3 linked regions of the Sus scrofa genome follow. The protein of the gene in region 3 purifies or fractionates together with the protein of the main gene of each other region. This does not show direct contact. Links are inferred from orthologs where the notes say so. Each region holds a gene or a part of one and is shown on either strand. Other genes may lie near its edges.

What was found.
Region 1: the proteins of PDHA1 (region 3) and RAB7A fractionate together in Homo sapiens (co-fractionation; 3 studies listed by BioGRID, with this or other methods). This does not show direct contact. The link is inferred for Sus scrofa from reciprocal best matches to the Homo sapiens genes PDHA1 and RAB7A.
Region 2: the proteins of PDHA1 (region 3) and OGDH fractionate together in Homo sapiens (co-fractionation; 3 studies listed by BioGRID). This does not show direct contact. The link is inferred for Sus scrofa from reciprocal best matches to the Homo sapiens genes PDHA1 and OGDH.

Annotation. Positions count from the first base shown.
Region 1 is NC_010455.5:71,883,846-71,888,100, forward strand, and holds the start of RAB7A (ras-related protein Rab-7a), read right to left. Parts: upstream 2,914-4,255; 5' UTR 2,777-2,913; intron 1-2,776.
Region 2 is NC_010460.4:50,682,107-50,686,200, forward strand, and holds the start of OGDH (2-oxoglutarate dehydrogenase, mitochondrial), read right to left. Parts: upstream 2,885-4,094; 5' UTR 2,774-2,884; intron 2,411-2,773; exon of another isoform or gene 2,191-2,410; intron 1-2,190. UniProt on the Homo sapiens protein: 2-oxoglutarate dehydrogenase (E1o) component of the 2-oxoglutarate dehydrogenase complex (OGDHC). Participates in the first step, rate limiting for the overall conversion of 2-oxoglutarate to succinyl-CoA and CO(2) catalyzed by the whole OGDHC.
Region 3 is NC_010461.5:15,706,397-15,710,041, forward strand, and holds part of PDHA1 (pyruvate dehydrogenase E1 component subunit alpha, somatic form, mitochondrial), read left to right. Parts: intron 1-624; coding exon 625-798; intron 799-1,553; coding exon 1,554-1,680; intron 1,681-3,546; coding exon 3,547-3,638; intron 3,639-3,645. UniProt on the Homo sapiens protein: The pyruvate dehydrogenase complex catalyzes the overall conversion of pyruvate to acetyl-CoA and CO(2), and thereby links the glycolytic pathway to the tricarboxylic cycle.

The sequences.
Region 1 (4,255 bases), on a different chromosome or scaffold from region 3:
GTCATTTTAGGGCCACACAGGCAGCATATGGAGGTTCCGAGGCTAGGGGTGGAATCTGGGCTGCAGGTGCCAGCCTAAATCCAGCCACAGCAAGGCCAGATCCAAGCCGAGTCTGCAACCTACACCATAGCTCATGGCAATACTGGATCCTTTCACCCACTAAGCAAGGCCAGGGATCCAACCTGAGTCCTCATGGATACCAGTTGGATTCATTACTGCTGAGCCACACAGGAACTCCATGATTAGCATGTTTGATATAAAAATATCAAGTCTTTTTTGTGGGCAAAAATTTTTCCTCAAAATTGTTTTCCATTTTACATGCTATTTTAATGTGTTTTTTAAACTTATTTTGACATAAACAGAAAAGTTGCAAAGATAGTAAAAAGAATCCCCATGTACCCTTCACCCAGATGTACTGCCTTTTAAAAATTAATTGCAGGGAGTTCTCATGTGGTGCAGTTGTCACTGCAGTGGGGGTGGGTGGGCAGGGTCGGTCTGATGCTTTGGTGACAGATTCAATCCCTGGCCAGGGAACTTCCATATGCCTTGGGTGCAGCCAAAAAAAAAAAAAAAAAATTAATTGCACACTATGAACATTTTTTTATGTCCACAGACACCATGGCCAACATTTATTACTGGCCAGGTGAGCCTTTTATCCACCATGACTCTGCTATCCCCACAATAACCCCTTAAGACGAATACCATAATTTCCCACGCCTCACATATGAATAAATCAGGCCTTAGATGCTTCCAAAATGTCACTTCACAATCCTTTGTTATGGATCTTTGATTCCTATATTTGTGCACCTACTCCTTAGGTTTTCGATGCCATCTCTAAGTAAGATTATCCACAAAATTCCCCCAAGCCTGCTGGCAGGGCTGAAGGGAGGTCCACAATCACCACAGCACCTTAAATCCATGTCCCATCACCAGGCTACGCCATGGCCCATAATGCACAATGACTGACTACATTTAAAATCTTATAGTGATCTTGTAAACAGCTTAATGTTTCATTTATGATTCAAAATTACCTCATCAAATTTAAATATGTAAATCATACTCTCCTCTCTGCAACCCTACTGGATATTAGTTCATGTAAAAATGTGTGTCCATCCTATGTTCACAGAGTTATTCACAGTAGCAAACAGTAGAAGCAAACCAGGTGTCTACGAACAGATGAATAAATAAAATGCGGTGTCAGGGTGGAAAAATTTTCCTTCTATTTTTCTAATTTCTTTGGCTAGTCTAATGGTTAAATTGTCATAAAAAAGATTAATAGGCAAGGAACCAACTTAATTTCATATGTATGGGAGCCCTATAAAAATAAGAAGGTAGTCAGGCAAGTGAGGCTTATCTGCCCTCCTGAGCTGAGGGAAGGGTTGGGGCTGGAGCTTCAGAGGGGAGGAGGGCCACTCACAAGAAGAGAAGAGCAGGGCAGAGGCTTGGTGATTAGATGTTTGTCCTGCCATGCATGTAAGTCTTTTATTTTATTTTATTTTGATTTATTTATTTATTTTTTGTCTTTTTGCTATTTCTTTGGGCCGCTCCTGCGGCATATGGAGGTTCCCAGGCTAGGGGTCGAATCGGAGCTGGAGCCGCCGGCCTACACCAGAGCCACAGCAACGCGGGATCCGAGCTGCGTCTGCAACCTACACCACAGCTCACGGCAACGCCGGATCGTTAACCCACTGAGCAAGGCCAGGGACCGAACCTGCAACCTCATGGTTCCTAGTGGGATTCGTTAACCACTGCGCCACGACGGGAACTCCCCAAGTAAGTCTTTTAGATAGAAAAGTTTCTCTCTGGTAATTGCTTTTTCTGGTCTGGTCCTTATTTAAATTCTTTTAGGCAGTTAAGGGAGAGCTACAGGCTTTCCCTCATATTGCTGGATACTGACTGCCTTTGGCTCAAAGCAACCCGCGTGCCAAGTTGGCACACTTGGGGTGGCTATTCCGCTACCCTTCAGGGCTCGTGAAAACCACAGAACATCAACCTGCCTTGAAAAAGAAAGGAGCGTGCTACAGCGCGAGTGAACCTTGAAGACTTTATGCTCAGTGATGCACACCAGTCACAAAAGGACAAACACTCCAGGCCTCCTGTATGAGGAAAGAACGGTGGTTGCCAGGGACTGGGGAGGGACAAATGTGGAGGTACCCTTTCAAGGGTACAGAGCTTCGGTCTTCGGCAAAATGAACTTATATAGAGCCTGATCACAGAGCAACGCGATGTATTTAATGCCACTGAACTGCACACTCGAAAGCGACTAAGATGGTTAAGTTCCACGCTGTGTGTATATCACCGATATTAAGTGTTTTTTAAACTTACACAGGATGTGTTTCACATTAATTAAATAAGCAAAGGGTCTCCGACCCGACGCTGTGCTCAGAGGCAGCCCGCTCCGCCGCCCCACCTCCCGGCAGGCCTCCTGGGTTAAGCGTCACTCTGAGGCGACCCCGCGGCCAGAGAAGAAAACCTGCGAACCTGGAGCCCCGCACTGAGCCTTACACATGTCGTTCCCAATGGAACGTTTCGGGATTTGCGTCTTCGCTCGAGGAGACCGAGGCCCCGTGAGTCTTAAAGGAAAACACCAAGCCCGCAACAGTGGGCCCCCATACACTTCCTGGGCTCGGCTTCTCACTCTGTACCTTTCGCGGCAGGTCACGCCTCAGAAAGGAGGGACATAGCTCAGACCCCGGGTCACTGCTGACTTCGCGGCCCAACGAGGCGCTCTGAGGGCGGGGGAGCCGGGTGGGGAGGGAAACACGCCGCCGCTCACTTTCATTTCCGGCCGCCCAGCCAACGCCTCCATCTTGTGCCTTCTGCCGCTTACTGACAACAAAGGCGCCGGGAAATTCCGCGGGAGCCGTCTTTGGCTAGAAGCCTGCTGCAAGCCCTACGCCAGGATCGCCGCGTGTCCCAGAAACAGAACAGCTTCTCAGCGTTCCGAACCGCCCCATAGGCAGCCGCCATTTTGTACGGCAAACCCCTCTATTTCCGCGACCGGCCGCTGACGTAACTGGCGAGGTGCAAGCCAACAAAGGCCGCGCTCATGCCCTCTGGCGGCGGTACAGGAGCAGCATCGCCAGCTTTGACCTGCGGGGGGACTCTGCTTCCGGGTCTTCTCGGGGGGCGTGGCCCGGACCTGTGAGCCGAGCTGGGGCGCGGCTGCGGTGGCCTGGGAACGTGTGTATTGGCATTGGCGCGGGCGCTGTGTGCTGAGCCAGCATGGCTTGATGGGCTCGGTGATCTGTTAGTCACCGTGTCGGAAAGGCCCGTGCTGTTGTTGCCATTTACAGATGAGAAAACAGCGTCCACCTTGCCCTCCCCATTCAACCTTAGTGGAGGTGGCCCGGAGGTCCCTCCTTTATATAAAATGGGGTGACGTTATCTAATGGGCAGGGCAATTGCAAGGACTGAGTTTTCCAATCACAGTATCTCCTTAAATCTCCGTTTCTTACCCACTCGTAATAGTAAGAACAGCAACCCCTTACAGCATGTGTACCACTTGGTCTACAACCCTATGAGGCTCGTTTTACAGGTGAGGACAGGGAGGAAGGCTCAAAGTCCCCCAATAGCTGGTATTGGGGACAGTTTGGGGTGAGAGATTGACTAACTGTAACTGCTACACATTCTCCCTGTCAGGTGTGTGCAAAAAAGGTGGTAAAGTAACGGAGCCCAACCCTCATAGTTGTTGCAGCCTCCTGGGACAGACACTGGGGCTTCTAAGGCCAGGCCCCTCAGGGGAGGAAAGAGATGAGGTAGGGAAGAAGAGGGGGAGTACCAGAGGGAATGGGCTGGAGGCACCGAGAAGCATCTTTGTCCCTTCTGCACCAAAAGTGAGGAAATGGCTTTCAGCCTGAAAAATGGGAATCTGGGATGATAGTAATGATGATAATTGCTACAACACACTGAGCAGTTACCACAGCTACCACAGTAAGCCTTAATCCAGCCTCAAAAATGGAGACAACTTGGGAAAAGTAGGTCCCTTATCCTTGGCAGTCTTTTACTTACCTATGAAGCTAGGGCAGAGAGGATCCCTGTCCTGGCCACCTAGCCAAGTTGTTATGAGCATAGAGTTTTGGTGTTCTCTTTGCCATCTGATGTGGCTTTTTTTTTTTTTGTCTTTTTGCTATTTCTTGGGCCGCTCCCGCGGCATATGGAGGTTCCCAGGCTAGGGGTCCAATCGGAGCTGGAGCCACCAGCCTATACCACAGCCACAGCAACACAGGATCCGAGCCACGTCTGCAACCTACAC
Region 2 (4,094 bases), on a different chromosome or scaffold from region 3:
TTTTTCAACAAATGCTGCCAGCTGGACATCCACAGACGGTTAAAAAAAAAAAAAAGAGGAAAGAAAAGAAAAAGAGGAGTCCCTGCTGTGACGCACTAGGTTAAGGATCCAACTGCAGTGGCTCAGGTTGCTGTGGAGGTGTGGGCTCATTCCCCAGCCCAGTCCAGTGAGTTAAAGGGTCCAGCATGGCCACAGCTGTGTCATAGGTCACTATTGTGACTCGGATTTGATCCCTGGCCCAAGAATATCCATATACCACAGGCGTAGCGATAAAAATAAATAAACTTATATTTATTTACAAACAAATTTGTATTTATTTATAAATAAATTTGCTTATAAATAAAAAATAAAAAAAAGGAAAGAAAAAGAATGAAAGAAAAAGAAAGAGACCACTCAAACTAGACTTCATACCTTATAGAGGAATCAACTGAAATGGATTATAAATTTAAATGTACAACACAAAACTATAAAACTGTTAGAAAAATATGTAAGATAAAAAAAAAAAATCTCAGGAACTAGAGCTAGGCAGAGTCCTTAACTTGATGCTAAAAGCACAAAGTATAAAAGACAAAATTCATAAACAGGACTTTGCCAAAATTAAGAACTTTTGCTCTGCAAAAGACCCTGTTACGATGAAAAGACAAGCTACAGACTGTAGAAAATATCTGCAAACCACATACCCAACCAAGGACTAGAATGTTTAAGAAATTCTCAAAAGAAAAAAAAATTTTTTTCTTTGCTTTTTTTTTTTTTTAGGGTCGCACTTGCGGCATCGGAGGTTCCCAGGCTAGAGGTCCAATAGGAGCTACAGCTGCCAGCCTACACCACAGCCACAGCAACTCCGGATCCGAGCCATGTCTGTGACCTACACCACAGCTCAAGGCAACGCTGGATCCTTAACCCACTAAGCGAGGCCAGGGATAGAACTCGCAACCTCATGGTTCCTAGTCGGATTCGGTTCCACTGCGCCCTGACGGGAACGCCTCAAAAAAAAAAAAATTTTAAAAAGGCAAAGGATCCAATTACAAAATGGGCAAAAGATGGAGTTCCTCAGTGGCCTAGCATGTAAGGACTCAGCATTGTCACTGCTGTGGTTTGGGTTCAATCCCCGGCCCAGAGGTGGCTAAAACACACACACACACACACACACACACACGATCAGAACAGACATTTGACTGAAGAAGGTATAGGGACTGCAAATAAACACATGAAAAGACACTCAATATCACTAGCCATCAAGAAAATGCTCTCAAAATAATCATCAGGATACTCCGATCTTTCTCCATCTTTCCAAGATCTAGTCCAGGGCTAACTTGCAAAGGTAGAACAGTATTATGTATCATCACACAGCGAAGGTCTTCCACAAAAAACTGTGGTTTGACTGTTTCACCTCCTGCCACAGTGCCAACAAGGCTTCAACCTAGGCCGTTCATCCTAACACTGCTCAGAGCACTATACCTGGAAGTGGGTCTCTGGCCCTCGCTTCAAAGTACAGGACTGCAAAACAAGGCACAAGAAACCCCAAGACATTGTTCATTCCTTGGGCCTGAGTCACCGCTCCCCTGTTCTGGGCAAAGGGCAGAGATAGCAGGTTCTTATCTACGCAGTCTTTTCTACTGTCTCAGTACACAATCTGCACTGAGGTCAGGGAGCTTTGCCAAAGGGGAAGGGTGCACGGATTAGTATGTTCCTCCAAGAGATATCCTTCATTGCAACATGAGCTATCAAACACCTGGAAGGAGGAGTATGGTGGGGGTACTGAGTACGGTAGGGTACTGCAGGGTAGTCTACTCAAGGGTACCACCCTAAAGAGCTCACAGGGAGGTCTGGTACAAACATGAGTAAGGAGGGATACCGAGTACAGCAGTGTGTTGCAGAACAATCCACTCATCCAGGGCATCAACCTGAGGAGCACAGAGAAAGAAGGTGTGGTGTGGTGCTCAACAGTGCGGTACTTACTGAGTACCGTGGAGGTGACGAATACAGTGGGTGCTGCGGGTAATCACTCAAGGGTCCACCCCAAGAGTGAGCAGAGAGGATGGGTACGGTGGAGTATTGAATACTGCGGATACTGCAGGGTGATCCACTTAAGACCTCACCCCAGGAGTGCAGGGAGGAGAGTAAGAAGGGGTGCTGAGTATTGTAGGCTACTGAGTACGGCGTCACCCCAAAGAATACAGGGAGGCTTACAGGGGAGAGTGGGGGGCCTGCGGGGTAATCCGTCCCTCAAGGGTTCACCCCAGGAGCGTAGGGACAGTCCGATCAGAAGCCGACCCGTGCCGTCCACGCTGTGGGAAAGGCGTACTGCCCACAATTCGCAGCCGCTTCTTCAAGGGCGCGCCACCCTTCCATCCGTCCAGGCGGGCAGAGGACACTGCCGGGTGACTCCCACGTGACGCCTCCTCGACCTTGGGGGTCACCCCGGCAGCGGCGCCCGTTCTCTCACATCCGCCGCGCGGCCCACCCCCGCCTCCGCCTCCACCAATGGGGCGCCGCTCCGCGCCCCGCGCAACTTCCGCGCACGCCCGCACCCGCCAATCTCCGCCCGCCTGCAGGCGCCCAGCGCACCATTGGCTGCCACGCCCGTCCGTCAGGCCCCGTCCCACCCACCTCCCCCAGTACGCCCTGCTCCAGCCAGCTTCACTCCCTGTCATCAGGGAGCCAGCGACAACGAGAGCGCAGCGGCCTTGTCCTCAGCCGTGACCCCCGCCTCCTGCCCCACCAGCACGGAACCTCCCAAACCCAGCGAGGCCCGGCGGCAGCGCGCGCCTACCTGTCTTCGGCTCAGCTCCACCCGAATGAGGCGCCGACACCCCACTCCGGGGTACTAAACTCTCGGCCACGCCCCGGCGTGTGGCGTCAGCACGCCGCCCCGCCCTGGGAAGAAAGGGGCCGCCTCTGCCCAGTGAGCAGGGCGGGCCGGGGCTTGACGTCACAGAGTTGCGCCCGCGGCGCTCTTGTGCTCGGTTCGGGCACCTCGCTGGGCCTGGCTGTGCGTCCGGGGCCACAGCTAAGCGGTGCCTGGATTGGTCCCCACCGGCCTGAATGCCGGGTCTTTTGAAAAAGAGGGTCTTCGCGTTGCCTAGTAATGCCTCCTGCAGTGGGCTTTTAGGCGTCCTCTGATCAGAGCTAAGCTGACCTGGCCTGTATTGTCAGACTGAGAGGAACCTTGGTCAGCACTGCATGACTGAGCGCTGCGGGGCAGCGGCCGGGCGGAGTGAGAATCAGGGGGGCCCAGCGCTGACCTAAGGGTTTCCCAAGTGGGACTCCTGGGTCTTCACTTGGTGCATGGACGGGTGTATCATTTCATGGACTAAAAGCGGTCGTCTGCTTTAAGAGGTTATATTACTTTGCCACCTGCTCACAAGTGTGATACCGACCTGATAAGAAAGAGAGAAAAAAAAAAGGGTTAGGATAGCTCCATCTTAAAGTTGACCTGAAAAATACGCACAACCTGAAGGTTGAGTGTTAAGTTTTATTGCGGACGAAATGAGGGCTACAACTGGGGAGGCAGCTGTTGCAGTTAGCTCTGAGATACCGCTGCAAGGAGGGAGGGAAATGTCAGCATACATGTGGTTTTGGTGAGGAGGGAGGTACATGCTACCCAGCACACGTTTTACAGAAGTCTGAGGGTTACTGCTCGACAGGAGGAGCAGACGTCACCATGAAGGATTTCAGTGCTTTTCTAGCTATGAGGAGATGCACGAACCGGGCTCATAAAATCTTTTTCTGAAAGTATCTAACCATCTGAAGACCTGTTCTGCCAGTTTTTCCAGAGCACAAAGTGCCTCATTCCTGAGCTCCCCCCTGAGCTCCTCGAAGGGGCTGTGGAGGGTCAGCAGCTGCAGTGGCTCATGAGTCAAGCTCTGCAGAGGCAGATGGCAAGTGCCAATCTCCAGTTCACAGTCAGAGGCAACTGTAGTTCACAACGAGAAAAAGCAACTCAGAACTGATGAAGCATGGTAGGCTGTATTCAATCACATACTGAGGAAGCCCTTACTTCAGTCCTTATTCAAGATTTCTTCAGTTTTCATTACAGCAAGAAGAAAGCTTCATATCATGATAACATATCTTTAACTCTACTTTTTATTCCT
Region 3 (3,645 bases):
TAGCCACAAGCAAGGAGGGATCCGAGCTGCGTCTGCATCCTACACCATAGCTCACGGCAACGCCGGGTCCTTAACCTACTGAGCGAGGCCAGGGATCAAACCTGCAACCTCACGGTTCCTAGTCGGATTCGTTAACCACTGAGCCATGACGGGAACTCCAAGACTTATTCTAAAGTTTAAAATGTGATTTTTGGGGAGTTCCCTGGTGGCTGAGTGGGTTAAGGATCTGGGATCACTGCTGTGGCATGGGTTCGATCCCTGGCCTGGGAACTTTTCTATGTCACAGGCATGTGTCTCTTCCCCCCACCCCATGTGATTTGGTAAACTATTTGAATAAGAAGATTCTTAGAATGCTTCTTTGGAAGTTTGTCTTTCAGCCTATAACTCAGTTGATTTCTAGAGGTTTTCAGTGAAAGTCCTCTGGAAAGATTTCCTTCCTCCCAAACTCCATCCCATTGCACGGTCAGTTTTCTGATTTAAGGAGTCAGGAGCAATATGCCACATTTCTGATGAGCTCATCTGCTAGTTTTCAAGTTAAACATTTACATTAGAGTTAGATCTTAGAATGAGTTGGCAGTGTTAATAGTGAAGTGATTGGGAGATAATTGTCTGATTGTGTTTCAGAAATGTGATCTTCACCGGCTGGAAGAGGGCCCACCTGTCACCACGGTGCTCACCAGGGAGGATGGGCTCAAGTACTACAGGATGATGCAGACTGTTCGCCGAATGGAGTTAAAAGCAGATCAGCTCTATAAACAGAAAATTATTCGTGGTTTCTGTCACTTGTGTGATGGTCAGGTGAGTGAGAGTTACGTAGTAAAACTGTTATTTAGGAATTGTAGTATGCTATGTATTGGCTCTTATCCTGCCTTTTGTGTCTGAAGGATTTGAGGCTGGTACTTTAGAATAAAAATGAGGCCTGCTATGAAGCTTTTGCTAAAGTCACATGTTACTTTGCTGATTTCCTATGCCACTGTGGCATTGTGAGCACGTGTACTGGATATGCTTTTGGAGCCAAGGGGTTTTGCTTTGTTTTTGATTTGTTTTGTGGGTTTAGGCCAAGGGTTACAAAATCATGTCTGCCAGGGACCATTTAGGTAGAATAAATGAGTGAAGCCTGTCAGCTCTACAAAGAATGGAGAATGGTGACAAGGACTGGTGGTGAACTGGAACATAGAGGCCCCGTGCAGGGGAAGTTCTAACTTGGTTCTAGCCAGTTGGTGCCATGTGGTACGGGCTAATGCTTCTAATCGTTTTTGTCTTCAAGAGAAGACAGAACTCTCCATTTTCATGTGAAACTCACACAATATTTTAATGTTGACATCTGATTTAGGACATTTTTCAAATTATCACGCAGACTTAAAACAGCGTATCTGTACATATGGCTCTGGCTTGGGCTTTATCCTCTACTCTATTTCTGATGAAAAATAGAGCCACTTGTGGTTATTACTAAAGGGTTCTACTAGGCCAGATGTTTCATAATAGTCTGGGAAATACTTTATCTAGAAATGGGTACTGTAATTGACTCATTGCTGCTGCTTGCTTGAATACAGGAAGCTTGTTGCGTGGGCCTGGAGGCTGGCATAAACCCTACGGACCATCTGATCACAGCCTACCGAGCTCATGGCTTTACCTTTACTCGTGGGCTTTCTGTCCGGGAAATTCTTGCGGAACTTACAGGTATGCTGTTAATTTACAAAAGGGGGAGTTGGTGAAATTAAGTTTCCCTATTAAGATGCTAACTGTTTATAAGTTAACAATAAAACTTTTTTTGAAGTAAAAGAAAAAATACTTAACCAAAAAAGCCTCTCCCTTTTGGTGCCCTATTGTGCTTTTGAGTAAACTGACCATTTTTGAGGTTATCTGGCCTTTCAGGTAAAAGATCAGCTCTAGGGAGTTCTTGTTGTGGCACAGTGGAAACGAATCCGACTAGTATCCATAAGGATATGGGTTTGATTCCTGGCCTCGCTCAGTGGGTTGGGTGTCCGGTATTGCTGTGAGCTGTGGTATAGGTTGCAGACATGGCTTGGATCCTCCGGCATTGCTGTGGCTGTGGTGTAGGCCAGCAGTCGTAGCTCTGATTTGACCCCTAGCCTGAGAACTTCCATATGCCACGGGTGCCACTCGAAAAAGACAAAAAAAAAAAAAAAAAAAAAAAAAAAATCAGCTTTATAAAATCAGAATAGCATATATCATTCAAGCCTGCCAGCAGAAATCTGGTAGTCAAAATAAATTGAGAATAAGCATTTTATTGTATGCAGGTTAAATTCTGGGAATCGTAATGTTCCCCTTGTGTTAAACCATTGTAACAGTATAGGAGGAATCAGAAGATGTTTGTAACTAGCAAAAAAAAAAAGAAGGGAAAAGCAGTCCAGGGTACCATGCTATCATCCTATATCATTGAATTGGTCTCTCTTGGTTGAGCCTCTAAGTAAACACTCGGGGTATGGTTTTGTTTGTTGTTTTTGTTGGGTTTTGTTTGTTGGTTTTAACTTGTGACATACGGAAGTTCCCAGGCTAAGGGTCAGAATTGGAGCTGCTGCTGAGACCTACAGCACAGCCATGGCAACATCAGATCCTTAATCCACTGAGTGAGGCCAGGGATTGAACTTGCATCTTCACAGAGACAACATCGGGTCTTTAACCCGGTTAGCCACAACGAGAACGCCTGTTTGTTTTATTTTATTTTTATTTTATTATTATTATTTTTTTAATAGTTATTTCCACAGTACCTTTTTTTTTCTACTGTACAGCATGGTGACCCAGTTACACATACATGTACACATTCTATTTTCACACATTTTCATGTTCCATCAGAAGTGACCAGGAGTTCCCGTCGTGGCGCAGTGGTTAACAAATCCGACTAGGAACCATGAGGTTGCGGGTTCGGTCCCTGCCCTTGCTCAGTGGGTTAACGATCCGGCGTTGCCGTGAGCTGTGGTGTAGGTTGCAGACGCGGCTCGGATCCTGCGTTGCTGTGGCTCTGGCGTAGGCTAGTGGCTACAGCTCCGATTCGACCCCCTAGCCTGGGAACCTCCATATGCCACGGGAGCGGCCCAAAGAAATAGCAAAAAGACAAAAAAAAAAAAAAAAAGTGACCAGACATAGTTCCCAGTGCTACACAGCAGGATCTCATTGCTTATCCATTCCAAAGGCAATAGTTTGTATCTATTAACCCCAAGCTCCCCAACCACTCCACTCCCTCCCCCTCGGCAACCACAAGTCTCTTCTCCAAGTCCATGATTTTCTTTTCTGTGGAAAGGTTCATTTGTGCTTTATATTAGATTCCAGATATAAGTGATATCATATATGGTATTTGTCTCTCTGACTTACTTCACTCAGTATGAGAGTCTCTAGTTCCATCCATGTTGCTGCAAATGGCATTATTTCGTTCTTTTTGATGGCTGAGTAGTATTCCATTGCGTATATATTACCACATCTTCCTAATCCAGTTGTCTGTGGATGGACATTTGGGTTGTTTCCATGTCCTGGCTCTTGTTTTATATATTGGTTTCTGGTGTGTTACGTGTCTATTGCCATTTCTAGGACGAAGAGGAGGTTGTGGTAAAGGAAAAGGAGGATCGATGCATATGTATGCCAAGAACTTCTACGGGGGCAATGGCATTGTGGGAGCTCAGGTAATTG